Daphnia pulex: one gene and its partners. The protein of the gene in region 4 purifies or fractionates together with the protein of the main gene of each other region. This does not show direct contact. Links are inferred from orthologs where the notes say so. Each region holds a gene or a part of one and is shown on either strand. Other genes may lie near its edges. The genes, in order: cold shock domain-containing protein E1-like, SUZ domain-containing protein 1-like, U1 small nuclear ribonucleoprotein 70 kDa-like and serine-threonine kinase receptor-associated protein-like.

Region 1 (8,706 bases), on a different chromosome or scaffold from region 4:
TGATAAAACAACAACCAATGATGAGCACAAGAAATAAGGTTAGCAAAATTGTGTGCACTTACATTTTGACAATATTGCAAGCCGAAGATTTCCCTGTACGTTGGTTGGTAATGAGAACAAATTCGACGGTATCGTTGGGTTGAAGAGTTGCATTATCCTTCACTTCAGAAAGATGAAAGAAAAGCTTCTTACCTACAAGTTTAAATTGAATTATTGATAGTTCACGTTTAATTTTTAAACTAAGCATACCATCTTCCATTTCATAATTCAGGAATCCAAACTGGCCCTTGATAGCGTCAACTGTAGAGCGAAGCTTTTTACGAACAACACGTATACGAGTAGCTCTTTCTTTGCCGTCCTCAGTTCGTTCGATTTGGAATTGAACTTGATCGCCACGTTGGAGGAAGTCTTTCTTATTAGCTAAGCTCGTGATTCCAAATTCGTAAGACACTTCTTCAGCATCCACTAAAATAAATTATGTTGGGTTATTTTTTTAAATTGAACTTTGAACAATCACAACAAAAAAAAGTCATTACTGTCAGCGCCTAGTTTAACTAGTCCCGCATATTGAGCTTGGTCGGGATTAACGTTTCTCAGTGGGCGAACGATAATACCATCCAAAATCTCTTCCTCGATGGCGTGTCGGGCAATGGTTCCTTTCTTCAACAACTTAACGTTTTCAGCAGATATTTTCCCCGACGAAGGGGTTTTACCTGTAAGAGTATACTGAACCTCGTGACCCAGGTCCAAAGAATCGGCATCCCCATCAAAATGACTACCAAAATAAATAGAATATGTCAAAGATGTCTTAACAAATAAAAATAAACAAAAACCCAACCTGTAGTGAAAGAATATCTCCTTATCGTGTGAGAGGTTTTCGATGAACCCGAATGTATCCTTCAACGACGCAATGAATCCTTTTTGAACTTTGTTCGCGTCTCCATTTGTATGTTGCGCATCGTTCTTGTTGTTCTCTCCATTCTCCGAAAACTTGTTACTGGATTTGCTAACTTGGGCACGCTGTATTATACGGATATTCAGACCGATGTGTTCCTTCGTGCGTTTTACTTGGGCCAAATCAAATTCAACCTAAAACGAACATAAAGATAAAAATATCGATTCAAGGAAATTCTAAAGCACGCGCTTACCTCATCACCCAGACGCGGGCTATTACGAACATCACATTCTCTCATCTGGAAGGGCACATGCTCCATTATTCCGTTCAGCTGGTAGGATACCAGCCCCATATCATCAGCTGACCTCTCTCCATTCACCTAAGTAACAATATATCATAGAAATTGTTCCCAGAAAATAGATAAGGCAATCGATCTTACCCGACTAGGACTGCGTTGAGCCCAACTGCTTGACGGTTCTCTGGTAACAGTTCCAACTATGTTTCGCTGAGTTATCACTTCAAATTGCACACTTCCTGGGGGCAGCACTTTTATACGAACTGCGCTTTGCTTGTTGGGTTGCGTTTGATCCTTTAACAAGATTACATTAATTCCACTCGATTAATTCCCGATCAATTCACTGATTATCTAAAAGAATTTTGCTACCTGTGACATCGTAAATTCTACTTCGGAATTTTGATCGACATCCTCGTCCAATGAAATTACTTCAGAGAAATGGAAAAAGACCCGAGCGTCCCTCTCGGCGCACTTGATGAAGCCATAACCTTCCTTGACAGCGGCTACCACACCGGTTTCACGTTTCTCACCCGAGACCACAAATGATTCGTCCTGCAACTCAATATTGGTGGCGCGTTCCAGTCTATCACGGCGATCAACCGCTACATTGAACTGGACCCAATCTCCATGTCTGGGGCATAATAAACAATGAGTTCAGTTTCATTATTGATCCATCTTGAAAGTGGAGGAGCAAGAAAAAAACATATGGAGGCCAACTAAATCTATCGATATACCTGAGTGTATATTCGCCCTTTTGATCTTTATCACCAAATGGAATTTCTACCTCCGAACGATCACGTCCACGATAGCGAAGTCTGCCAGAGAGTGGCTCCGTATTAAGAGCGGCAACATTTGCACCGCGTTCCAAAGGTTTCAATACTTGGCCTTTCAGAGTTTCAGGGTTGACGTCTTCAAAGACGACAGTTCCGGAAGGCAACTTGATTATACTGCAAGCCACTTCTTTCCCCTAAACAGATAAAACAGCAAAAATTCAATTAGAGGTCTCGCATAATTCTTTCTTTTTTCTCTAGACGCAACGCACGTTTCGGGTTTGGATCGTGAACTCAACGTCGTCACCGAGTTCCATCGTGTCAGCAATGCCTTTGGCTTCAGAGAAATGGAAGAAGATTTCGCGCACGACATCACCACGTTCGATAAATCCAAAGCTCTCTTTCAGAGAACAAACCACTCCCTGGTAGCGAACTGGATGAGCCGGGTTTTCCAAGCGGATATAACGAGCTCCCAGGTTACCGCTTTAGAAAAACAGAGAACGAAATGTTAAGGCTATTAACATTATCATTTCGCGAAAGCATAAAGATACCTGTGACTAGTGGCAATTTGGAAGCTGACTTTATCACCAACAGAGAGTGTCACGTTTCCTTCCACATCATCCTTTCCATATGGCAAGAAAAAGCACTCGCCACGATTCTCGTAGCTTATGCGCCCTTGTTGGCCAGTTCCCAATTCGGTAGTGACAGTTCCAGTTACGCGCTCTTCACTCAATACCTGGTAGGACGATTAAAATAAAATAACAGCGCTGTCTAAAGTAAGAAAATGAATCATACCACTTCAGGAGCGATTTTAGAAACAGAGCTGGCAATCGGTTTCCCGTTCCTGCGATCGTAAGTCACTTCAAATTCAACAGGGTCTCCTATCTTCAAGTGTTCAATATTGCCGTCAAATTGACTAAAATGAAAGAAGAGACGAGCTTGGCGTTCGCAACACTGAATGAATCCATAGGAATGCTAAGACGAAACAAATAAAATCATTATAACATAACACTGACCAGGAAACAAATAAAATTACGTTTCATACCAGTAGTTTCTCGATAATTCCCGTTTCTCTACTGCCGAGATTGTTTGGAGAATTGGAACCTCCGTCACGATGCACGTTTCCATTGCCCACGTGAACAGCGGGCGAAGTCTTGATGGTATCCTCACTAAAAGCCGAATTAGCATTGAATGTGCCAATGGGAAAGTGCCCGATAGACGAAGATCCAAGTGTAGGTGATATTGAACCACCTTGGCCGTTGTTGATCGAAAATTGAGTGCTGGTAGAGTTCGTCTGCGAGGCAAAAAATGTTCCACTGCCAGAGTTTGAACGCCCGAATGATGAAAAGTTGTTGAACCCGTTGACTGCAGCTCCAGAAGACGACAAGAGGTTACTGCTGCTATTGCTGCCACCGTTGTAGCCGAATCCGAGGAGCGAAGCCGGAGCAGCGGACTTGGGAGAATAGAGAGATGAGTTCCATTGTGGATTCGTCGACATTTTTCTTCGCACTTTTTAGAGCGGAAGGTCGCCGAAGGGAAAGATCAGGAACAGAACTAGGTGGATGATTTCAGAATAGAGGATTTACACTAAGCACTCACAAAAATAGGAAGGAAATTCAAATGTTGGGCACACACTATACGTTTTTTTTTTTGTTTGTTTTGTTTTTGAGTAAATTATTTTTAACTTTTTTTTTTCTTTTCTTTTCTTAATGTACGACAACAATATCACAGATAAGGCAACGATGGTAAATTGCTTGTAAATTCCTAGCTCAAGAGATTGTTTCTGGTTACAGCTGGTTGTAACACTCTTTTGGTAACACAATGAAATTGAATGGTTTTATAGAAGACTTTAGTTGGAACTCAAAGTGTCACTGCAACCAATGGTTGAGGATAACCAGCAAACAAAAGGATGGGGATAACAAACACAATGAGGGGATGTGGGATCAACACCTGAGCCTTTTCCTTGATGGGTTGCTGTTAAGGGCTATAATTCCTACCAGCAATTACTCCCTTACCCTTAAAAACAACCACACAATCACACTCACTTACACTGGCACACCAATTTGGGATACAGATATGAATGACAATAGTTCCAAAGAAGGTGAAATTCAAAAGGCCAATAGATCTGAACACAATATCTAAGGAAAGTTTTCTTTTGGCTTGAGACAGAGATATTTATGTTTTTCTTATGTGAGAGAGGGGAATAACACTAAACAATGAGCTGATGTTCAAGAACTGTAGATGGATGGGAGGCTTAAATATGTTAATGATGAATGTGGCTGTATTGTTTGCTGAAAGCACGCTGAGTCTTCAACTAGAAGTTATTTTCGATTTCAAGATGGTGACCAACTCTTTTGGGTGTAGGGTTCTTACAGTAATCTGAAAATACACAAAAACAATGTCACAAAGTGAAACAATTGTTCGTGGTATAAAAATAAATAAAAATTTACATAAATGCCAAGAGATTAAGGAACTAAATTACAATTTAAGTTGTGAAACAGAAAGTCCAAACTAATTCAAAATCCAACAAAAAAAGTGATCATGTCATATCAACGATTTTTGTCAAATCAAAGCCTTTGGGCTACTTTTGTTACTGAACATGCCACCGGAAAATAAGCGTTCACGTAATGCTATGGTATAAGCGTACAGTAAACGTTGTCGTGATAAAATAAAATAAATTCCCTCAATATTCTTTTATCGTTTATCGACAACAGGGATTATATCAAAATAACTATAAATACGATCACATTTGACGAACTAACACAAATCCAAAAATAATATTTCTTTACCCAACGCAACGGCACAGCAGACTAGCCGCCATGATACAACTTATTTGACGAAAGCGCCCCGCGTAGCGTTACAAAGTACTTCGAAGACGAAAGCGCCATAGTGGCCTTAGATGGTACTGATCTTAATATATTAATCTTTGATTAGCATGTGGATTTGTAAGGAATTCATTAAATAATGGAATACACATCTAATGAAAAATTGAATTTAACTATAGAATTTTAATAAAATTGGCATTGATTTTGTGATACAATCTCAATTAATCAATACTTTGTTGATGCCTTGATGGTTGATATCGTTTTAGCAGACGAAAATTTCGGTTTTATGAGCGGTGAGCTTTCGAGTTTCGATGTTAAGTGAAAAGATAAGGATTTGTAAATCATGTCTATATCGGTTTGTAATTATTTCTGAGTAGTATTTTATTCGTCACGTCTTTTGAAATGGCAGCAACAAATTCAAAATCCGACTTGAATAACGGGTCTACCAATAGTGTGTCCGAAAGCGGACTAAGTCCCCCAGCAAACACCAGTATTAGTGGCCCGTCAAACGGTCGACTGAAACGTAATTACATGAACGTTGTGAAATTTTAGTTAATCACATAATTATAGCTAATTTGAATAACAGGGAAACAATGGGTTCTTCATGAGGGTCCACATGGATCACTACAGAGACTTCGACTAAGGATGGCAGAGGAAGGTTGTGGCCACAGCCAAGTGGCTCTAGCCAAACAGTTTCTTTCAGAGAATTGTGGGGAAAGCGATCAAATGGCAATTCATTGGTAAAGTTATGAAATTTGATTGCTTGAAATTTAAATTCCTCACATAGTTATTTTACCTTCAGGTTGTTGAAAGCAGCTGATCAGGGGCATTATGAAGGAGCAGAATTATTGAAGACATGTTTTGAAACCAATAGGGGCATCACAGAAAACAATTGCCATAAAATTCGTTCCTTCCTAGAGTATGCTGTCAAAATTCACTACGACCCTTAGTTGTAAATGTTTATTAATGCATTTCCATTGCAAACCTTTTTTCCAGTATGTCACAGCATGAGAGAGCAGCAAGATTAGGGGCCAAAACATTGTTTACTAATATGGCTCAAGGAAATGAATTCATCACTACTAAACAACTGGAACAGTGGTTAGAGGAATCATTTGCTACTCAACAAAAATCACAGCTTGAGAATGGAGAAGCTCTAAAACAAGTTACTGATTCTTCTTCTTTGGTTTTGGGAGGAGAACTTATCAGTGAACAACACATGGTATGCAAAGGGTCTCGAATCATCAAATTGTATCCGCTAATGATAGTCTATTTCTACTTCTTTCTGTAAATGATATTTAGATGTCAGCAGCTTCTGTTTACGCATCCGGTCACTTCCCTCCCCTATTACGGTTGCTCAATCTAGGATCCAAACAAAATCTTAGCTATCTCTATCATCGACTGAAGCATAGCAAATTTATCGACTACACTCATCCCCTTCCATTATATCTTATGTTTACGCTAGTAATCGTTTATTATATAGTATCCTTTGCTCTCAGCAACCCCATCGTGTTGCTTAACTTGCAACTTTCTTCTGCCTTAATTTTGCTCTCTTGGGTTCTGGCCTTGGCAGCAGCTATATACTTTACAGTTCAGTCATGCCACTCTGTCCGAGAATGGAATATTTTCCATGGTTGGTCGTTGCTTTTAACTCAGCATGCCCAACGCTTGCTTGAGCCAGCAACGGCTGAAAATTTATATATCTACGGTACATTCCCATATCATCTTGGTCGACTTTTACTGGCAACCCTTTTGTGTATTTCACTCCAACCCGCACTTCATCTAGTGCGCTCCACTTTACCCAATCCTGGTTCTTGGATCCCGTTTGGTGAGCTAAGTGTCCTAGCTGCATTACTATGTTCTACCTGTCTCGATTCGCACATTGGAGTTGGACTCTATGACATCCTATGCCTGACCTGCTGGATCCTTTGGCGTGCTGATCTCACCCCCTGGAGTTTCTATTCGGATGATGACGAAAGCATGTCACTGCGTTGGATCCAACTATACCGTTCCCCTTGGAGTATTCGTTTTCACCTAGGAACTGTTGTCACATTCGCAGGAATCCTGGTTCTGATTTATTTCTACGTCAAACGAATGAGGCAGTTAAACTATGCCAGCCATCGATTAGCCTGGTCACTACCGCATTTCCTCAGTCTTTTCTGGCTTTTCCTAGCCATCGATTGGTTCCAGTTATCAGGCTATGATGGGGTAACTTTCAATTTTTTTTAAAGTTTGTTACATTTTATCTTCAACTTTTCTTTTAGATCTTACGAGGTCTGGGTTTTCTTGCTGCTGCCGCACTTCTTCGTTCTAATTGGTTAACAAAAGTCAATGTGGTACGTAACAAGTTTTGAAACTTGAAATCTTCGTTCCATGTTTTTGGGTTATTTTTAAGTTATTGACTATTAAATCAACATCTCTTCAACAGCTTATTTGCATTACCTTCTATTCGTCTGGATCTGTCATCGGATTAAACCCTTGGATAGGTATAGGAGTAGTTGGTTGTCTCATCGTCATAGTTCAAATGAGGACTAAGTTCCTATCTCGTAGGAATCAAAGGTAGTACTTGTTTTTATATTAAATACATGTTGGATTGTTTTTACTTTCAAAATTCGATTATAGCATACTAATGGTGCTATGCCTAGCCATACTCACCTACCGCCTGTTGGAATACCTAAAAGCTCCCGACACACTTCCCGAAGACGTCTTGGGTTTACCAACGACGACCCCCGTTCCTCCGACTCCTATACGATCAGGAACAGGTGGTATGATCCATGGATCTTTAGATGATGTTGATTTAAATTCCGATTCCATGGAGGTAATTAATTTGATCGCTGTACGTACATTATTTAATTTCATTAAAATAATTCACTCTTTTTTTTTAAACAAAAAGCTCAACTGGGAACGTTATCACGAGTTTTGTTCCTATTCCCCTCGCTCCTACTCTAGTTCTTCTATCGCCTCTGTTCAAATGGCGTGTTTCGCACTGAGTGGTTTAACTGTGAAATGGGAGGGAGTTGTACGTCAGGTAAGAACTTCGTTGCCCTTTAAATAACAAGACAATCTGCAGTGCAATCATTGTAATTTTTTGTCAAAACAGGTCTCAGTTGAAAGCCGAAATAATGTTGTAGAATCGCTACTCCAATGGCTCCCGCCTAAATGGTTTGAATGGCTGAAATGTCGAATTGGAGAAAAGTGGCCTCCCTGTCATAATCACGACCACGGGTTGCCCCAGTCACTTGATTCGAGGCGGTGTAATTTATTTTGGAAGCTTAATCATGATCGCGGAAGCTTATGCCATGTTGATCGTTTTTCCAAATTCACTCTCCGTCTCGAGGTACATGCATATAAAATAGCCCTTTGGAACTGAACTGATACATTTGTTTTTTTTCGAAGGTGGAATCGAAGATACCGATTCAACTGGCTTCGTGGTCTGGTGATAATAATGACGATAAAACACTCACAGTAGAATTACTAGCCGGACCACGATTTCAAAAGTTGGCCTTTCGATTATCACCGGGTCAAGAAATTCGTTTCCATGGTACACTGTCTTCACCGTCAGTTGGCGGATTGAAACCAGAATTGGTGCTAAACTCGTTAGAGTGCTTGACGTGTCAGCCGGATAGCACATTCAACAGTCATGCGGAATCCAATTCTCACCAACCAGTTGGCGACTTGCCGGATGCAACCATTTTCATCGATCGCGCATTGCAAGGAGCTGTTGATTTCGTCCTGCCACATTTCTTACGACTTAACGTCACGCAGTTGCTTCGTTCCGATTAACTGTTTCGCATAAATTATTCAGATAACTTCTCACAAATTAAGTTTAAGCTTTATTACCAGTTCAGCATTTTCATATTCAATTATCTTGTTGTGCCATAAGTGATCCCTGTTAGTGTCATAAAAATTCTAAAGATAGATTTT
Region 2 (7,794 bases), on a different chromosome or scaffold from region 4:
CGCCTCGATTCATGACATGGGGAACGTAGGAACACAAAGAAATCTTATGTTAGTTGCACAATCACAGTCGCAGCATACATGACATTGACATTACACGTCTAACACGAATGACGAATCGAAGATCGAAGATCGAACAGACAATCCGCCACCTGACAGTTACAATTTTTAGCCACCTAGTGACAAGCGACAGATTCTTTATCATACACCAAGGCTGACCAAGGAGTTCAAATGCGGAAATTCCCAAAGCAAGTTAGTATCCTTTGCCAGAAGCACTGCTTACCTGCTTGCTACCATGACTGATGAAACAGATAGTATAATTCATGGCAATCTTGTGAATAATGAAGGTTTTCAAAATGTCAGCAATTGTGATAAAGATAATGAAAGTCAGCAATTAGGAGAGAGTTGGTTTTCACCACCAATTACATCAACTCAAATAGTGTCATTTGATTTGATAAGTTCTGATGGAGATTTTTCACAAGATGAACTGCTCTTAGGCAATGAGAAGCATTCAGCAGATGGGACAATTTCATCGGATGAGATTATGCTATTCACAGATCCTGCTTACTTACTAGCTCTTTCACCTCTCTGTGACCAGACCAATGTTTCTGAAACTCCCCCTCCACAAGGGGAATCCCTAAATTGGGAAAACAGAAATGTTACAGATTATCTGTTTAATAGCAGTAATTTAATAACCGTTGAGTCTTCAAATAATATTTCAATCCAAACTATTAGAGCGCCTTCAAAAAGAATGTTCCTTCAAGAAAAAAGCAAGAAATCAGCTAAGATAAAGAAACCAAAAGTAGAAGGTTACAGTTGCAAGCTGAATGGAACAATGTATCAAGTATATAATTAATACTTTATTCTATAATTTTATGCCATCTTATATAACTGCTCTTTTATTACAGGTTTTTAGTAGGGATTTGGATGTACTTGAAGCCATTGAAAGAGGACTTAAAGTAATACAAGAGAAGATTCGTCAACAGGGAATGTGTAATGTGAGGCCTCTTTGTCTACAACTAAATCAAATTGAAACGATGATGGGTATTCTTGATAATGAACAGCTTGAACTAGGGATGCCTCTTGAGGTATGTGTTCTATCTCAATTACATACTATGCTTGTAGGTCAATTTTTCAAATTTCAAAGTTATAATCTTCTACTGAAGGTATGGAAGGAAATGATGGCACTTACCAAAGCTATGTTTAATGAAACTCTACATGAAGTTAATCTATGCAAAAAAAAAAGATTTGAACTTGAAACCTTCACTGATGAGTTGACCACTTCCTTTTCACATAGCTTCAACATATCTGGTTCTGAGCAGACCAAAGAGAAATCAAGTCAGCAGCCACTCACCTTTAACAAGTATCTTTACAAAAATAAGGCTTTAAACAGTCTCATAGAATGTATGCCATGATTGCAATTAATTTTGTTTTATTATTCCTTCTAGAAGAGATGAAAACACTGAAAAAATCCTTGTTAGAACTCCAGACGCAACAGCATCACATTTCGAATCCCAAGTATTGAGAAATGACATGACAGTTGAAATTGAGCAAGAAGAGAATGGTATCCAATTGTCTGGAGTATCGCAGCAGTTAAACGACACAATTACGCAAGAATCCGCTAATGAAATCCCCAAGAAGACGCCAACCCAAACAACTTTAAGAAAGCAACGATCATTGAGAAGCTTAAAGAAAAAATCCTCCAAGAAATCTTATGCACCCAATACAAGCGGAACATGTGAGGAAAGCCATAAATCAACTTTACCTCGAAAAAATGTTCTCCGAATGGATACCTCGACAGACGGTTTCCGGCGTCCTGATGAAGTTGATTTGAACCTTCCGTTAGCTGAAGATTCCATCCACGAAAGAAACCCTTTACAGACACTTGCAATGCCATCGACTGACACCACCATACCGATCAGCGGAAACTACTTGGAAATCTGTCGAAATTCCTTCAGTTCCACCCTCAATGCAAATGAATCGCTGTTATCTCAAAAAAAATTGCAGGTTAATGACTCACAATTGAATCCTGTTCGCGTCACCATCAGCAACGGTTTCAATTCATCACAGCAAATGGAAGAAATTGTTATCGCAGAGAACGTAAATGCTACCAACTACCAAGATGAATCCTTTATTGTTGAAGCCTCACAGAATTCGACGCTCTCTTTGTTCAGTGGAAACCGGAAATGTTTACCCAAAATAGTGATGATGAGTTTCAACCTGCATCCATTTGTCCTTAAAGGAGTTTTATCCCCTGGCAAAAATAACATGAAAATGAACATTAACAATCGCATATACATAGGATCTCTAACACCTGATGGGACAATTGAAATGAACGGTTTCAGTTTCCCGACAATAGGAAATTGGATAAAGTCCGTTGAAGGGAAAAGGTTTGGATGTTTAAGTCGTACAGTTCAGAAAACTTTGGAACTGCAGTACAATGGCAAACCTCTAGTAGAAGTGCTTGACGAAGGAGGGAAATTAAACAAATCACTTTTGAAGGACAACGTCGAAATTTCTCCGAGCAATTTCACTCAATATCCCACATTACAACCTCCAAAAGCAGATAGCAATCTTCCACCGAAAACAGCTCCAGTTATCCCTGTTCAAAACCCGCCTTCACATCCACAAACCACAGACGAAGTTGGCCAGAAAAACGCAAAATCGAATAATGATTTGAATACTAAAGAAGATCTGCAACTAGTTCCCGACGAGATGACACGTCACATCAAAACCATTTTTCTTCACGCTCCAGATGAGTATTTTCCCATTTGTCAGTGCGTTGAACAGTACTGGTGCGGTGCACAACCCTTTCCAAAACACCTTTTAGACGAAGTCGATTCTTGGTAGTTTAGTCGGTCTTAATCTATTTTCTTGTGAATTTTCGTTCGAAAATAAAATGCTGTTCAATAAACACATCGTATTGACTGATTAATAGCTCAGTAGTTGTACTGTACACGCACACGCCCCCCTCAAGAAAAAAAAAGGAAAAACAATTTGTGGAAAGAAAACAGAGTGGGAGAAATTATAGATTTAAAATTAAAGAAAAGGTGTCGCAGTTTAAGTAAAGCAAAAGGAAGTCTTAATTTTGTTGGTTGAAACCTCTTGTTCCGTCAGGACCCTTTGGCAGGCGGACGAGACAAGATTCCTCTGTTCGTAGATTTTCCATTCGATTTTGTAATTTACTTATACTAAAAAAAAAATAACATAATAAACTTACTAATTATATTCTGGTTGTTCTAAGTTAGAATTCCAGATACTTACCCAAGGTCTGGCAAAGGTATGTTGGCTGGAGCAGCTTCGCCTAGAATTCGTAGTCGTGCTTCAGCATACTCTGCTTCTTTCTACATTAAGAAATCATATCTTTAGTTAAACCCAATCACTTACAAATTCAATTTTAATAATAATGGAAATACCTGTTGGAGTGTTTTAACCAGGGGCTTGGGTTTAGCTTGGCCATTCGATGAAGCAAAAGCACCCTGTTGGTGAGCATGAGCTGATCCATTATGCTGAGGTCGCTTAAGAATTTTAATCTGAGGAGGCGGTCCAAGAACATTAGGTTTCACACTACCATCTCCATTGAACAAAAAGTGAGTTTGCTGTTGAATTTCATCAGGATTCCTAATCAAGACACAAATTGAAAATTAAAAGGCTGACTACACTCAAGAAGGAATTAAGGGAACTCAACACTAATGCAATTTCCCGAACTAAAATCTGTCATTACGAAAATGAATGGGATAATAAGTAAAATTTAGCATACCTCACTTCTTCTGGTATTCTGGTCTTCAAACTTTGAAGTTTTTTATCAAGAAGCTAAAATATGTAAAGATGACTTACTATTATGAATATGACGGTAGCAAAAGACTTCAAGAAATATTCGACTTACACCAGAATCAGCCATCTGTTCCCAATCATCAAGAATCTCACCATCAGACGGAGGGCTTTTCATTTGGAAAGAAGACATGTAGGCCATTCACTGTTTCGTTTAAACTGAAATGAGTAGTAGCAATTAATCACAATTGATACACGCCAACATTTTTTCGTCTCACGTACAGCATGTGTGCAGATTTTAAATGGTTAACCTACCTATAGAAACTGAATAAAAGTTTTTGCAGTTGATGAAGTTAATGAATCATAGTTCTTTAGATAGTCGGTTCGAAACGAACAAAACAAAGGGAAAACTGTAGATGGTAGAAATTATTCCTTTATCCCTGATCACCGACTCAGATTTCGACGACGGACATGTTCCATTGAAGAGCCATTTACTTTCTTAAATGTATACAGCTTTTGCTGTTGCCAGATTGAATCATTAGGCGTCTCTCGCATACGGTACTCAGGAATGCGCCAATGCGCCTTCGTGGAATGCCGAATGCAGCAGGCTAGCAGCTGATTGAACTGCAGATAGTATTTTGATAATTTCCCATTTACAGTTCTTTATATTTGATAAAAATCAAACAGTATTTTATACTATTTTATTTCACTATTTTTATTAAACCAAACGAAACGTCAGTTGGTTGTTAAGAATTCAAATTCATTCGATGTTAGTGTTAACACCTTTTCTCTGGGTAACACTGAATGTGATGTTTCCGAATTTCAGAAAATTTCAAAGAATAAATATTGGAACCAATTTAGATAATATATTTCTCCGTTAACAACAACAAAAGAATCATCCCAAGATATGGGTTCTCAAAAGCAGATTTTTTTTCCTTAATTATTTACATAAGGCCACACAAAAATCAAAAAAAGCATTTGAAAATGTAAAACCAACAACCCAGTGGGAAAAAAAAATTAGATAAAATTGAAACAAGCAAATTTCGACGGTAAAATAACGAGAAAAAAATCTATAATATCACGTTTCATAAAAAAAAAAAAAACTCATGATGTTTCTCTTTTTAGCGTGCTGCTGGTTTCTTAAGATTCATTCGCCAAGGTGAAATGATAACGCCCACTCCAGCTGATTCAGCGGGGCGAGGCGACGTAGACACTGGGTGATTACCTACCGACGACGAAACTGATGCGGCTTCCGCTTTCACCTCTTCAGAAGGATGGCTTCTATTTTGCGATCTTGACAATAAAACCACAAAAGATTGAGAGTTTATTACCGTGATGCCAAATTATTAATTAACATTTATAAGAAAACTAACTGTTTGACATCCTCAACTTCCTTCCGATCGGACGAAGTTGCTGTAGTTGTAGTGCGCTGTAGGAGTTGGCGCTTCCATGCCGGCATGGATTGTTGCCTCTTCTCCTCGAGCTCACGCTGACGCTGTTCCTCGGCTTCCTTTTTGGCCTTTTCAGCTGCTTTGCGAGCAAGCATCTGCCGCTTCCATTCGGGAATCACAGCTCCCGTTACGTCCTTGTCCGGTACCTTATTCAACAATCAAAAACATTTATAGATGCTACGACGTTTCTTTTCAAAAGAAAAAACAAAACAAAACAAACATAAGTATTCAAAAACATATTAAGGATAGAATACCTTCTCCAAAAAGTTGTCATATGTAAACTGTTTCTCAAACTCCTTGGCCTGAGTTTGTTCTTGCTGAACTTCCTCTTTGGCGCGTTCAACTCTTAGTTTCTTAATACCAACTACAGAGATATCTTTGCAGGTTTTAAGTTCAGCGATCAGATCAAGCTGAACGGGAATTACTTCGGCTGGAAACAAAAAATTGTCAACTTTTATAATAAATCTAAAATCAGGATGCAATGTATGTACACAGCAAATACCAATTGGGAGAGGAGCAGCAGCTCTCGATGGTGCCGATACGGTTTTCGCTAGTTTATTTTCAGTTTTGCGCAACTGGACACTCTGAAGGTCAAGAATGCTGATGGACGACAGAGGCTGCGATAGCGAATTCGTCGGTGCCAATGGTGCGTGATGTGGTTGCGACTGTTGTTGCTGATGATTGTTGACACTTTGAGTAGTTGTCAAAGGCTTGTGGTACGAAACATAAGAGTCATCTTCCGGAATGACCGGTAGCGGGGGTGGAGGAGGTGCTGACATAGACGCATTGCTGAGCAGTGCCACTACAGGACTTTTAGTCGTCTCATTATTGACTGCGGGAGCAATTGGCACGGTTTCATTGGTTTCCGCTTCTTCTTCCTCATTATCCGGCAGTGATTGGACTTCTTCATATACATTCTCTGTGTCGACGTCATTCAACTCTCCTTGGTCTAGTTCCACTCGTTTTTCTTCCTGTTCCTTGACGCTCTCAAACGCAGGCAGAGGCACTGAAGAATAGACGATTGGAGCAGGTGCGTGTCGCTGATTGTGCATGGGAGGAGGTCGGATGGACCTGTTTGACGGTTGAGCCATATTGATAGACTTCAGGTATTCCGACGGCTTGATCAACGTGTCAGTCTCGGATGGTGACGGAAATTTCGGAGGGATGAAGGGTAGGGCCATTTGCTTGCTCAGCAAGATGTGTTTGTTGCTACTTGGACCGCCGTTTACCGGATTGGCAGCCTGTTGCTGGTCGGCATGCAAACGCAAGGACTCCATTAGTGCGTCACCCATGTCCGCTGGTAGCGACATCGGCCGATTCAAGCAGGTATGACCTGTTTGTGTGACAAGTAGAGAACAAGATATATCAGACCTAGATTTCACTAAACTGGCATTTATCAAACAATTTCTTCGTCAACTCGTTGCATACTGACCTGATTCATTGCGGATGCCCTTCCTGGTGTTGCGAAGGAACGAGGGTTTCATCGTCGGGTCATCGGTGTTTCTTGTAGCGTAGAATTGCCTAGTGGCTTCGGCTAGAGTAAGGTTGATTGGACCTCCTACACTGCTGCTGTCGTCGTCGTTACTCCTATCGGAATCTTCAGCTCCCGAATCCGAAGTCAGTGACGAGGAGACGGAAGAACTTTCCACGTCGGCCAGATTTCCTTCTTCCCTCGAGTCCTCGGCTCGGAACGGCGGAGGAGGAGGAGGTGGTGGCGGCAGTGTGTTGCACGAACTCGGTTGCCTGTCCGAAACATGAAATCCCGTTGGAATTATTTAACATAAAAAAAAATGAAAATAAAAAAAAAAAAAAAAAAAAAAAACGGGAGGCAACACGGTACCGGTGTTCCATTCCCATCGACGGAGAAATGGCTGTACGGGTGAACGAATCGTCGGCTTGTCGACTATGAAAATGCGGCAAGTCATTGGAAACATCAGACGGCGATCCGCAAAATTCTGAAAAAGATAAAACCAAAGTTAATACAAACTAATGGACTGCGGTTAATGTAATTTTCAGGAGCGACACTTACCCGGAGGCGGAGGGATGGAAATGATGTCATCTTCATCCTCATCAGAAGACGTATCATTCCGTAGAGCGTTCGGATTTTCGTAAACGCTTCGAGCACTGGAATTCGGCACGGAGTAAATCTCCTCGTACTCATTTTCCGGTCCTCGAGCGGAAGATCTCGACGAGGAGGAAGATGAGGGAGAAGAAGAAGAAGAAGAGGAAGAGGAAGAGGAAGAAGAAGATGAGGAGGAGGAGGAAGAGGTCGGTGTTGACGGCGAAGACAATTCTGACGATGAAACCGAAGACGAGTGACTGCTGGATGCCTATAAAAATAAATCGTAAATGAAATCGAATAATCCCCTAGTTAATCACTAAAATGATGGGACAATACATACGTGGAACTCTTCCGATTGCGCAGATTGAATCAGATTGTTGTTATTGTCTTCGTCGTTTGTTAAACTGGCAGAATCCGAACCGTCGCATTCCGAGGAAGCTGACTCCGTCGTTGCCATTTTCGAGCTGCCAGAGTGAGACCGGCACGACTCGGAATCCTTCAAACCGCAGAAGC
Region 3 (4,216 bases), about 4.5 Mb from region 4:
GTCCTGAATGTTTTACGTTTACATCTGGTCCTCCACGACGAGTCCCACCCAAGCCTCCACCCAAACGGCGAGGAAGCCAACCTGGAATGCAATAGTTTAGGTACTTAGAAACCATGGCGGCATGATTATAATATCTAACAAGAAGAAAAAAATTTTGTGCACTTATTTACACTGATTAATCAAAATAAAAAACCTATGGATTTTCAAAACAAATTTTAAAATTTGCCTTCGAAAAAAAGGGCAGCAAACTATAAACATAAAACTTATTTAATTAAAATAATTACCTTTGACAGTCCTTGCCCTTTCTACGTCTACAAGAACTCTGCGGCCGTCTATTTTCTTTCCGTCGGCGTGTTTGTACGCAGCTGGTATTTTAAAACAACAAACCAGTATTTCGGCGCCGTCGGCAAAACGAACAAATCGTAAATACGGGTAGTACAGCAGGCAGAGAAGACGAAAAATTCAGCGTGTATAACATGGAGAAGGAGAGTTCCAACAATTAGTATCACAAACCTAATATCACCTACCGAAGGATCTCCATTACCTACCCCTCCCAGCAATTTCGAAAAATATTTACCGTGAATTAACAAATAACGAAAAATGCAATGATTTCAAGTATGACCAATCATAACACTTGGAAAATGCATAAAAAACCAACGCCACGGCCGTTTACCAGATTACGGCTATGTTCACGTAACATCCAGATCTATTAATAAGCGATCAAATGTTGCCAATCACAGAAGCAGATCCATTCCCTCTTCAAGCTGTCCCCATCTTTACCTGTGAATCCTCTTAACGCGCAGCAGCACTCGAAGAATCTGATCGAATTGAAATGGCCCTAATTTTTAGTGGCGCTAGAAAGCCTAGTAACCGACTTACCAGGATACTTACTACCATCAAGGGGAAGGGAGGGTGAAAACGAAAAGATACTTTCTTTGAAGCTAATTTGAACCTGCAGTCGATTTCAAAGGGATTTTGGTTTAACTTTAACCAAACGAAACCTTACCAATTGACCATACAAACCTAGCATCAAGAGACAAAAAGCGACAAAGGCCACATGACCGTCCAAATAGTCGGAGGCCGCGACTGTGACCGGAAACGACAAAATGAAATATAGGAAAACTTTAAGGTACAAATCAATCACAGATTTTCCCCACCTCACCCCCACCCCTTTCATCATCATACAAATTGGTGGTGCGACGATTAATTGAACAGTGAAAGCTATCGCAGGCCTTACTAATTAGCCCACTACCCTCAGTTACCACACGACTTAGGTATAATAGAAAAGAAATACTTACAATGCATGTCTCGCTCATGTTCATACTCGATGAATGCATAACCGCGTGGCTTACTAGTCCTCTTGTCATGCACCAACACAATCTGTAACATTAAAAAGCGTGGTAAGCGTGTGATTAAATTTCACATGGTGCTTGTAAGTTACCTTCCGAACAACTCCGTACACTTCAAACTCCCTGCGCAATTTAGATTCCGAAGTATCAAAATTCTGAGAGAAAATGTTTCAAGAATTATCGTTTCATTCATGCGGATTACTAGTTATAACTTAGCACTCATTATTCATTAAGCTCGAAATAAAATAAAAGTGATGAGAAAAAAAAATTATAGTATGAGTATTGACACTTACAATGCGAGCAACGAACAGCGTTTTGAAGGGGTCCATGGTAGAAACACCATTACTGTGTGGATCCCCTATGAATGCCAGAGAAAAGGGAAATTGATAAAAGAAATTGTAGAAACACACCAAAAATTAGAACTTACACATTGCAATTTCCTGTTCAAGTTTATAGGCAACTTGTTCTGCCTTTTCGCGACGTTTTCTTTCGCGCCGTTCATCCCGTGTTTCTGCTCGCGTAGGAGGGGGTGTATCTTTAGGATCCTGTTAAGAATATAAAATGATATTAAAAATTTCGTTATGTTTGAAAGCTCAGTACTTAGTTCATCAGAATGCTTCTAGTATGCAATGTTTCGTTCCACATCTCTCATTTAAAACTTTGTGAAACAATGACTACTTTACACCCCTCAGACATATGCTAACATTAAATTGTCAACCTGATAAAAGGCTCAGCTGGAAACACTGTGCTTCCAGAAAATTAAGACACTTTCACAACATTTTCACAAAATATTTTGCATCTCACATGTCACACATGAAAACTTGGGATTCTCATCGACACATCTAGAGGAGAATGAATAAATGAACCAAAACTGTTCCATAAATTGGGATTGGGACCCGTGCATTAGTAAATTAAGACATACATTACTTCCCAAATCAATCAAATTAGATCAAATTGCAATACTTACCTTGACTACTATATCAATTTTTAATTTTTAATGGAATCAAATACTAACCTCAAACAGATTTGTATACTGCGCTATACCAATGTATGGCGTTCTTTTTTTTTCATGAGTCAATTTATCAGGTGGTGGTAAAAATGGAGGGGGATCGCGTGGCGCAAAAAGAGCCAAAAGATTTGGAGGCAAAAACTGCGTCATTTCACAAATATTTCAATGAGCATGGACCTTTCAAAAAGCTTCTCGGTCGAGCGTCTTAGCTGTCGGCCATTAGTCCATTACTGTCTATCTATTGCTCGGCAGGGCTGCCACTTTGGTCTTTGGTGGGATTTTCCCACTTTTGAAATTTTCAAGTTTTTAAAATTGAAAATACCCGTTTTAAAAAACGGGTATTGTGGGATGAGATGGGATTGAGATTTTAGGAAAAACAGCGGGATTTTGTAATTTCTAATTTATCTGACCAATTTCATAAATTTTTTTTGAGCCGTAAATAGGCTAGCAACAAAATATATATTTGGCAACTAGAAATAAAACTAAATTTAAAAAAGCAGACGAATCAATACCAGATCAGAATCAGACATATATAAAAGTAAATAGTCACTACAGTCAAAAACAGCGTTTTGGCCCCAACCAATTTGTATCAGTTTTTACTTTTTATATTGTTTTAAATATTATAATCGTAATACTAGACCCCCGGCCCTTTAGTTTGCTTGTTGCTTATTGCTTATTGGATTTTAATGGGTTTGGCGCTGATATTTTTCATTAAATTTCTTGAAAGTGGAGTCTAGTAAGTAGGTAGTAGGTAACTTATAACATTTAAATTAATGCTCTTTAAGGAAAAAAAACTATAAATACTACATAAAAATAGACATAATTAGGTTTCAAATGAGACTAAGGGGGAATTTCTACGTGCATTTTTGACAAGGTTTAATATATGGTAAACATATTTTATACGGTAAGATTTATTTCATTACTGCATCTCAAAAGATTCAAGTTGTACAGCATCTTTCAATTACATCCAAGTCCCAAATATTGGTAAATAAATAAATTAGTTCCTTTCTTTCTTACAAAGCCTTTTCGGCCTTTTCTTAAATACATTGCTGATGCGGTTAAGTTCGGTTAATGTTATTGTGGTTTTCAAAAATCAGCTTGGATTTCAACTTCTACTTGCAGACAAACCAAAACAAAGTAAAAAAAAACTGTTCGATATTATTTGGCCTCTTGATGGCGTAGAATTCAATTATTGAATTAATTGAAATTAATGGTTTCTTAGGATTAGGAATGTCTTTAATCTTGATGTATTTATCGTCTGAAAGTTGAGACGGTGTCTCTAGCTCTCTACTTTAAGACCATAACAAAATTTTACTTTAGTTAGCTAAATTTTTTGCGCCAAAAAACTCATACTGTTTCGTCCTTCATGCTTAACTCAGCTTAAGGATAGGCCTTTTTATCGTTAGCACATGCAAAAAAATAAACAAACAAAACGCGGCAAAGTCTGATACACACGACATGATTCTGAATCGAGTTTCCATCATCACGTGACCGCAAGCACTCCGCCGGTCCGCCCACAAAAATAAACCCAAAAATGGAACCATACAATCTGTGAACATGTTTCCATAGTTCTACTAAGGCAGATTGCCCGAGATACCTAGATGGGAAAACCTCCTAAACTGAATAATTTGGATATATTATCCACAATTCCGCTACACCAAAACGCCAGTTGCTAATACATGTCGGCCCCAGCGGATTTGTCAGTGCAATTTTTCGAATTTTCTATAGGCTTTGCTCAAGAAATCATGCAGTGTGATCGGAAGAATGTGTGAAGTCTAAAACGAAGAAAGCACCTCTGGTGCGTCAAGGACAAAACCCTAGCTGTGTGTCCTAAAACGGAACAGCTACTTTGGTTCCC
Region 4 (8,225 bases):
GTTTTCAGTGACGTTTACCGCTATGCGTTTCGCTTCGCTCTGGATGTAGAGTGTGGTCAACGCTCTTTGCCTGTTGATGTAGCCGTTTCACTTTGGCGGCTTGTATTTACTCATCGACCCGTCCCTCTCCTTGATCGTTGGATCGAATTTCTTGAACAGTCTCCTCCACCTGTTCGAGCTATACCCAGGTACAAATCACCAACAGTTGGGCATTTCAATGCAATTTAAATTTAAATTCTCTTCTTCAGGGATACATGGTGCATGTTTCTACACTTAGTGGACGCTGTGGGAAATGATCTTTCCCGCTACGACGACACAGAAGCTTGGCCTAGCCTTTTTGACGATTTCGTTGAATGGGCCAATGATCGAGCCAACCAAAATGTGCTGCACGCCAAGGAAGAACTACACTGATGGTGATCAACCCTCAGCTTCTTCCCGTATTCGTTTCGCTTTGCTGTATTAAGTTTTTCTCTCTTCTCACCTTGAATCGTTTCAGATGAGTGTATTAACTATGTGGTTTTTTAAGACATGATAATTGCTGATGGATGAGTGAGTTATTGAATTCGTATTTGTATCGGTTAGTTTACTTTGAATCTTCGTCCACCTTGACTCTCATTTATACTATGAAAACAATATCTGCTGTGATTCCTTGACGACTTTCGCCGTACAGAGTACTGACCTGCCAATGTCCCTCTTTTTTAAACGGCCCCTCTTGTTCACGTCTTTGAAATATCGTGTCTTTCTCAAACCACCTTTATTTTCTCCAATTGTTTATACTGTAGTTTGAGAAGAACTGTCTTTGATTGGTAACAATTTGATTGACCATGATTGCCACTCTAAAGAGTAGGTATATATTGGTATTTCTGTATACCCACCCTTTTTTCCCGAATGTAACGTACCGTAAGCCTGTTTGTGTGTTTATGTAAAATCGGTATTTTTCCTGTGACTGTTGATTGCTTTCTACTTGTTTATGTGCTATTCTTAGACCACTGTGGATGAAGACATCAATACAGATGTGAATGTAAGCCTTTGGCTTATACAGATGAAATTGTTTGTTCTTAGTTTGAAAACTTTGTAGTTAGTGAAGTGGCATCCTTATATAAATCCTCAACCAACCCAACATACATATATATTTAGTTTATAATTATTTTTATGTTGTTGTTTGTTAAAAAAAAGGAAACCGCAAACCAGCCGCAAACTAGAACTCAATAAACCAGATTTTAGAAAATTATAACCCTGTTCAGGCAGGCCTGTATCCCATGCCCATCCTCCGTTTCCCGTTTATTCTCCCTCCGACCCTCCCCCTTCTGAATCTGACCGCCAGGCGGCTCCTAAGTGATAGCAGACTACACTTGAAGACTAACCGAAAGAGAGAGAGTGATTTTCGCCGCTATTTCAAACAAGGCGTAATCTTTGTTTGGAATTTGATTGAAGGTCTTACTTTTCAATGTGCTTAAAATGGAAGTTGCAAAGCCAAATACCAGGTACTACTTGATAACTCATGGAATAAATGTATGCTGACTTATTTTTATATCTCTTTGAAGAACTCGGAAAGTGATAAATTATGCAGCCATGAATGGCGATAGATCATCAGATGATAGTGACAACGATTTCGTTGTCAACACTAAGGTTTCAAAACCCTCTGCCACTGCATCGAAACCTTCAAAACTGAGTAAATTGAAGCTAGGTTCAAGAAAGGAAACTAAGTTGTCTAATAAATCGAAATTCACAGAACTAAAACCCATTTCAGATCAATCAACAAAGGTTTGAATTTAAAATATTATCATTTTTTTACTTAGTATCTTATGCTTTGCATGCATTTTTTTTTCAAGGCAATTCAGCCTCCCATAATTGCTGGATCAAAGATTGTGGAAGAGATTGATTTTTCCATAGCAGAACCTGATTTGATAATTCACAGCATTTCGTCACAAGATACAGTTATCGCATCCACGTGTGAATGTCTTTCTCCTCATGAACTGAGTGACTCTTCAGACTCTGAAATCTGTGGAACCACTTTTGAGCTATCTGCTACAGTGAAAAACATGTGCCAAAAACATGAGTCAAAAAAGAAGATAGTTAGTGAGGATGAGGATTTCAAACCCCTTAAAACAAATGAAGAAAGAATAACCAAACGAAGGATCATCAGTGAAAGTGATACAGCAAAAAATAAGAAGATCAAAATTGAAAGTAAAGAAGATGAAAAGTTGAATACCCGTGGTAGTGTTGAATCCATTACAAAACTTTCAGTAGATGATAGTGAAGATACTTCACTTCCACTGCTACCTAGACTATCCCCCTGCACAAAAATGGTGGAAAGGTCATTACCTGAACAACTTATCCAAAATTGCCAGAACTTAGTTCTAGTTGCTTCAATCAATGAAGACAGTGAATTACCAGTTGCCCTAGAGAATAACATTCACACATCTGTAAAAGAAAAAATCAAAGTATCAAAAGACGACCATAAATTAGAAAAAGCTGAAGAATACCCAAGAATTTCCGCGCTTCAACACATTTCTGAAGATTCAAATAAAATTCGACCAGTGTCAGCGGAAGCAGTATCTCCTACCAAAACTGCCAAAAAGGCAACGAAAGTCCTGAAACAAAAACTGCAATTAAAAAAGAAGCCTGAGACGAACTCGAAAAGAGATGTGACAAATCTTAAGCAATGTAGAGATGAATCATGTGATTCATCGAAACCCACAGGAATAATTCATTCTACGATAGTCGACAACGGCCTTCCTAAAAACGACGAACTCGGAGGTTTTGAAGCGGTACCTTCCAAGAACACCCAAATTACACAAGATCCTGTTCACATCTTCAAGCCACCTAGTCCGCCATTGAGGGTTGCAGTGAAATGGAAACCACCAGGTAAATCAATCACAAGCCAATTAATTACTTTTCAAGTGTTGAACTTTTTTATTTCAAAGGTAAAGCCGGCGGTGGTGCAAATATTTTTTCAAATGGAAATTCAAATTCTCCTTCAACAGGAATTCGATTAGGTTTATCACGTAATCGTCGAGCAAGCAAGCCATTACACCCAGATGTCAAAGTGAAGATCTAACTAACAAGCGTTCGAAATAATTCTTATAAGAGTTTTTGTTTCTGGATTTACGCCTACTGTATACCTAATTCGTGCTTCACATTGAACCGTGTTGTCTTTGCCTTTTCGAAATTTGTATTTAAGTTTAAGGAATGGATGGATTCCTTGTATTTCCTGATGGCTCAAAAATGATATCGTCTTTACAAGTCGAGTGACCACTGTTATCGTGGTGTGAATAAGATCACTGAGGTTATAACTGGGAACAAAAAGGAATATAACTTGGTCATTTCCTCTGCTCCACTTCATGCCACAGTTTCGGTTTTAGCAGGTGAAGACAGAATTTCGGATGAAGTAGGAGTATCGCTGCTACACTTCCACAAACCATAGGATTTACCAACGGTAGTTTGCCATAAACGAAGGGTTCCATCCTCTGATCCTGACGCGTATAATTCACCATCGGGAGAAAAACGGACGCAATGAACTGGGCCAAAGTGACCTAAAAAAAAAGATATTGTTAATAAACACAACTACTGTCTATAGACAAGATTTACCTTTAAACGATTCTATTTCCTGTCCATTGGAATAATCCATTTTATACATTTTAAAGTCTTCGCCACCGCATACAAAGACTGAGCGTGAAGGATGTAATGAGGCCGAATGGACTTGGCTAGGCACTTGATATTCTTTTATTTTTTCAAAGCTGATGATTGCAACAAGAAGTTATTAAGCAAAGTATGTAAAATGAAAACCTATTTGTCGTTTACCTGGTTGTATTCCAGAAGCTGACTGTGTTCCCGCTAGCGACCGTTAATATGGAATCATCGTTAGAAACTTCAATGCCATTAGGGATCGAGGTAAAATCTATACGGTGAATTTCCTGTAAACGGAATATTAACAATTTTAATTTGAGAAGACGTAAAAAGATTAAATAGTCTGTACCTTTCCCGTTGAACGTTCCCAAAATCTAACGGTTCTATCGTCAGCACAACTAACTATCTTCTCTCCCTTACCAAGAAATGCAATATGTCTCAATCCAGAGGTATGGCCAGATATGATGAATGGATCTAAAAAAAAGAGAAGCTTCATGTTTTGTGTTTCTTAAATAATTTTTGAAGTACTTTATTTACCAGCAGTTGGATTATTCAAGTCATAAATGCGAAGAAGCTTTTCATTGCTTCCAGTAGCAAGCAAGCTCCCGTCTGGGGAAAAGGCCACACATTTGACTATATGCTGATGTTGGAAGGAATATATTTCTTCCCCTGTTACAGCGTCCCAGACTTTAGCAATGAAATCAGCAGCACCTGATGCAGCTTTGCTGGCATCTTGGCTTAAAGCAACTCCCCATACAGCTCCCTTGTGGCCCTCAAATGTGCCCAACCAGTCACCAGTATCTCCTTGCCTCATCATGGGTTTTCCATCTACATTTTTCTATAACGGTTAATGGATAAACTAAGAAATGAAATATATTAACAAATACCTTTGCATGCTGATATAAGAAAGTAACCTTTCTCCGTGAAACCGCTGAAAGCCAAGTCAACGACAGGCCTAGTGTGTCCACTGCAAGTTAAGGGTGTTTGTCGTAATGTAGTAGGAACTGCCATTATCCCAAAGTTATTTGGTTATTTAATACGGTCAGAGTCGAGATGGGAATTACTTGATCGGGCAGTCAAACTACAAAAGAAGCCACAAATTGGGGAATTGATGGTAAATTAAAGCCCCTTGGCTAACTTAGCAGGTTGTCGGTTGTCGGTGTTGCCGACTGCAGAACACTAGGATCATAGGGAAAATTATCCCGGCATTTGACGCCATCTGTGGCCAATACCGATAGCAATGCAGGACTTATGCAATTGTGCAAGAGTGACGTCAACTCACTTTTTAAGTAGAATGCCCCCAATTGATTATTCACACTCAGCACGCAAAATCAATCCTTTCTGAGCCGATTTTAATGCGTGGTTAAAAAGGTAAACGACGTACAGTGTGATCTGGGCCGATCACATAGATTTTTCATTGGGAAAAATCACAATAATCTAATGTGATTTAATTACTGTACCGTTCATGGGTATTGTACGGCTGCATTTTAGCCTTTAAAAAGTTCATTTTGTTGACGTAGAAAGAATTATAGATTTATAGTTAAAACGTACGTCATGTGGCGTTATTGAGCGGATGGTAAACTTTTACTATTAAAAAAAGAACTACAAGAACTGTCTGAGTATTATGTAGACATAATTAAGCTAAAGGTTGCTATACACAAAAGGTGCGCACAAAAACAAGAGCTTCCGGTTTCCCTAACTGTACTTATACAGGCTAGGCTACTAGGGATCGGATGAAACACTGTGCGGAAAATCATAGCGGACAAATCTTAACTGTTAAAATATACTGTAAGGTGTAAACGGCTAAAACGCAATTGCATTTTTTAATTCTGAATGTATCATTTAGTACTTTCTTGCTTTCTCAGCTAAATTTTTTCATTTTTAGAAAAACGCTAAACAAATATTGAATGTGTAAAATGTACAAGCAGCCCAAATATTTGTTATGCCAAAAATCGCAAACAATGTTTCAAGGGAACATCAAGAAAATTTTTCATTATTAGAACTAAAGTAATTGGTAGCCTAGTAAAGTGGGCGTTAAATGACAAAATGAGTAAACGGTGTTAATGAAAATATAGTGATATTTCGATTTTATCTATGTAGCACTGAAACGACAGTTAATGAGTTAAGCAAATAAATCGTAGCTAAAACTATAAATTATTGTAATTTGTCAAATATAATAAGCCTTATTTAAACCCAGTTTACCTTGCTCAGGTAAGAGACTAAGAGGTAACCATTCTGCGAAAAGTAAAATTTAGTTGTCCTGAAGCACCACCAGGAACACCATGGCATAAGTAACCATGGAAACCAATACTCGACTTGTTAGAGTTGTAGGCTATTTATTAAAGGTGCTGACTTGGCTCTGGCTGTCAATTTTAGCTACAAAGTGTTTCTCAAATGCACGAAGATGTAATGTAAAATTTCAATACGTACCTAATTTGTGTTAACCTTAACATTTGTAATCTTGACAGAAAAAATCGACGTCTCCTATTAAGAGCAATGGAACAAAAACAACGTCAAGATTCAAGAAGCAGGGTGGATGGGCGGATGAAACACAACAGTCGAACAAAGCTTTGAGCGCACTGTGAGTCATTGAGTCCCATCTAGTTTAGTAAATAAACTAATTCTAATCCATATTGGTATTGATATCTTGCAGAGAAAAGAGGTTTTCTTCCATAAAATTGAAGAAGCAAGAATCAGAAGAAGGTACAGCCTATAATCATTTGTACCAATTTTTGAAGATATTTAACTATGTAATGGAAATAATTTAGAAGTTCCTGTTTCAACCACCAGTGACTTAAGCAATGAAGATGTAGATGATCTCAACATTGTCAGCAACTTAAAAACGTAAAATTCTACAGTTATTCAAAAATGTTTCATCAAAATTTTTACTGGGTTTTAATTATTTTTTAGAGAAAATCATAACCGAGCTGCTGCATACAAAGAGTTAAATGCCAATAGCATTTCTAAACAAAATATGGCTCAATATTTAGAAGGGGTAGATTTAAGGATTCTAACAAAAAATATATTACCTGAGTCTCAATTGAAAGAAGTATGACCATAGTATACTCACACATGCTTCTTCTATTAATGTTATCAATTTTCTTTTGATTTAACAATCAGGCAGATGTACCATGGAATTGGGATGTTTTATTTGCTGAAATGGTGCCTGAATTATTCTTGGGTAGAGAAAAATCTCCTTTTTAGTACAATTACTCATTTTTACAACTTGTTTTATTTTTATTGGACATTCTAATACATAACATGCACACTTCTGAAACAAAGCCCATTGTAATGTAGTATGCATATTCTTTCTTACTCCCTGATGTTTTTACAACTTCCAAAACATTTTGATAGCATTAACAATTCCTACATCAGAATAATTAAAATAGAAAAGTCCACCAAGAGTGAAAACTGAAATTCCATAAACAACAGCAACACCAAGTTTGGCTAATGCAGGGCCAACCACTTTTGGTCTCATGTAGTCTACTACAATAGTTTCCAAACCCCTAGAAATGTTGCAAGTTTTTTTAGAAGACTTTCTTAAGAATTTTCTATTTTGAAGAGTAAGAATTTTTTGTTTTACCAATGAGCGTGCAGTGTGAAAGAAATAGCAAGCAAGTAATCCATTGCTGCGGAAGGGAATAGAAATGCTGCAGGTACAAGAGGGACCAGAGCAAGTGCTAAACCTCTTTCTAATGTCCAAAGTTTTGTGTGATCATCTGCTGACTTGCAAGAGGCTGTCTCGGCAAGAGCTTTGGGACCCACAGTGAAGTTTTTCACAGAATGAAGTGCATTCTGCGATACAGGCACAATTTTATTCTCATAAAATATAATGTTCTTTTTTGAAAGAGCAGCTAAACAGGGATTTCCAAGTATCAAGCGACTGTGTAACCCCACTGTAAATAAAGTAAGTAAAACAAATTACGTCCATGAAACGTATTGGTCAGTAAGATTGATCTATGCCTAATAACATATTACTCATAAAATTTAGTCAGAACTCGGGAGTTGGATTTAAATTATACTGGGACTAAAGTTGTTTCAACGAGCAACATTTGGAAATCTCTGTAAAGTAAGTAAATTACCTTTCCCAAAGTTTCTGCAAACGGACATCATTGCGGCCATTTTTCTGTCTTTTTATCAAAATAACAGTCGGATACTGCAGACGAAAATCTAGTTCTCATTTACGCCACTTTGAGATGGTCCAGTGCTTTGCAAATTGCAAGTGCATGGAAAAGTCAAGACTAGGCCTACTTTGCCTTTTTAGCCACATGGAATGAATGGATAGTGGATAACAAACTACAAAGTAAATGTAGCTTGATAATAAATTAATAAATTTTGCTTAGCCAAAAGAAAAAACAAAAATGAAATAAAAAACCAAACAAAAAATTCTGCAAAAAGGCTTTCAAGTAGGGGAAGATATACAAATTAATTAGATATCATTAATTGACCAGATAATTTTTTTTAACTTTGTTTTAAAGTGAAGAAGAGAGATTCTATGATTAATTGATTATAATTGTTTCCTTCGGAAGGACTGGAACCAAGAAAAATTTCGTACATATGCACTCTTTGTCATTCTCTTCTGAACAAGGTTCTAT

Evidence for each region.
Region 1: the proteins of serine-threonine kinase receptor-associated protein-like (region 4) and cold shock domain-containing protein E1-like purify together in Homo sapiens (affinity purification with mass spectrometry; 3 studies listed by BioGRID and IntAct, counting the BioPlex papers as one, with this or other methods). This does not show direct contact. The link is inferred for Daphnia pulex from reciprocal best matches to the Homo sapiens genes STRAP and CSDE1.
Region 2: the proteins of serine-threonine kinase receptor-associated protein-like (region 4) and SUZ domain-containing protein 1-like purify together in Homo sapiens (co-immunoprecipitation; 3 studies listed by BioGRID and IntAct, counting the BioPlex papers as one, with this or other methods). This does not show direct contact. The link is inferred for Daphnia pulex from reciprocal best matches to the Homo sapiens genes STRAP and SZRD1.
Region 3: the proteins of serine-threonine kinase receptor-associated protein-like (region 4) and U1 small nuclear ribonucleoprotein 70 kDa-like purify together in Homo sapiens (affinity purification with mass spectrometry; 3 studies listed by BioGRID and IntAct, with this or other methods). This does not show direct contact. The link is inferred for Daphnia pulex from reciprocal best matches to the Homo sapiens genes STRAP and SNRNP70.

Annotation. Positions count from the first base shown.
Region 1 is NC_060018.1:4,244,986-4,253,691, forward strand, and holds the start of cold shock domain-containing protein E1-like, read right to left. Parts: upstream 4,851-8,706; 5' UTR 4,750-4,850; exon of another isoform or gene 4,411-4,749; intron 4,340-4,410; 5' UTR 3,459-4,339; coding exon 3,006-3,458; intron 2,936-3,005; coding exon 2,756-2,935; intron 2,697-2,755; coding exon 2,512-2,696; intron 2,444-2,511; coding exon 2,233-2,443; intron 2,158-2,232; coding exon 1,925-2,157; intron 1,822-1,924; coding exon 1,560-1,821; intron 1,485-1,559; coding exon 1,335-1,484; intron 1,275-1,334; coding exon 1,149-1,274; intron 1,090-1,148; coding exon 839-1,089; intron 776-838; coding exon 537-775; intron 466-536; coding exon 250-465; intron 193-249; coding exon 63-192; intron 1-62. Other genes in the region: wolframin-like, read left to right, coding at 5,188-5,308, 5,372-5,525, 5,588-5,704, 5,782-6,004, 6,085-6,990, 7,047-7,118, 7,211-7,341, 7,405-7,600 and 3 more. UniProt on the Homo sapiens protein: RNA-binding protein involved in translationally coupled mRNA turnover.
Region 2 is NC_060018.1:4,645,520-4,653,313, reverse strand, and holds SUZ domain-containing protein 1-like, read right to left. Parts: upstream 4,295-7,794; 5' UTR 4,051-4,294; intron 3,988-4,050; 5' UTR 3,971-3,987; coding exon 3,884-3,970; intron 3,811-3,883; coding exon 3,758-3,810; intron 3,619-3,757; coding exon 3,414-3,618; intron 3,342-3,413; coding exon 3,262-3,341; intron 3,189-3,261; coding exon 3,080-3,188; 3' UTR 2,921-3,079; downstream 1-2,920. Other genes in the region: uncharacterized protein LOC124210490, read left to right, coding at 293-841, 906-1,085, 1,164-1,360, 1,446-2,847; uncharacterized protein LOC124210484, read right to left, coding at 4,890-5,061, 5,142-5,365, 5,474-5,649, 5,722-6,552, 6,652-6,962, 7,060-7,174, 7,249-7,549, 7,622-7,794.
Region 3 is NC_060026.1:6,141,064-6,145,279, forward strand, and holds the start of U1 small nuclear ribonucleoprotein 70 kDa-like, read right to left. Parts: upstream 2,801-4,216; 5' UTR 2,509-2,800; coding exon 2,365-2,508; intron 1,895-2,364; coding exon 1,777-1,894; intron 1,708-1,776; coding exon 1,643-1,707; intron 1,505-1,642; coding exon 1,442-1,504; intron 1,381-1,441; coding exon 1,299-1,380; intron 366-1,298; coding exon 285-365; intron 82-284; coding exon 1-81. UniProt on the Homo sapiens protein: Component of the spliceosomal U1 snRNP, which is essential for recognition of the pre-mRNA 5' splice-site and the subsequent assembly of the spliceosome. SNRNP70 binds to the loop I region of U1-snRNA.
Region 4 is NC_060026.1:10,621,309-10,629,533, reverse strand, and holds serine-threonine kinase receptor-associated protein-like, read right to left. Parts: upstream 4,836-8,225; 5' UTR 4,642-4,835; coding exon 4,518-4,641; intron 4,459-4,517; coding exon 4,168-4,458; intron 4,105-4,167; coding exon 3,980-4,104; intron 3,918-3,979; coding exon 3,805-3,917; intron 3,741-3,804; coding exon 3,592-3,740; intron 3,537-3,591; coding exon 3,343-3,536; 3' UTR 3,191-3,342; downstream 1-3,190. Other genes in the region: DCN1-like protein 3, read left to right, coding at 1-188, 249-411; uncharacterized protein LOC124205018, read left to right, coding at 1,459-1,484, 1,545-1,764, 1,833-2,868, 2,928-3,061; intraflagellar transport protein 43 homolog, read left to right, coding at 6,025-6,036, 6,099-6,211, 6,284-6,333, 6,399-6,474, 6,541-6,679, 6,751-6,834; succinate dehydrogenase [ubiquinone] cytochrome b small subunit, mitochondrial-like, read right to left, coding at 6,959-7,136, 7,214-7,526, 7,713-7,752. UniProt on the Homo sapiens protein: The SMN complex catalyzes the assembly of small nuclear ribonucleoproteins (snRNPs), the building blocks of the spliceosome, and thereby plays an important role in the splicing of cellular pre-mRNAs.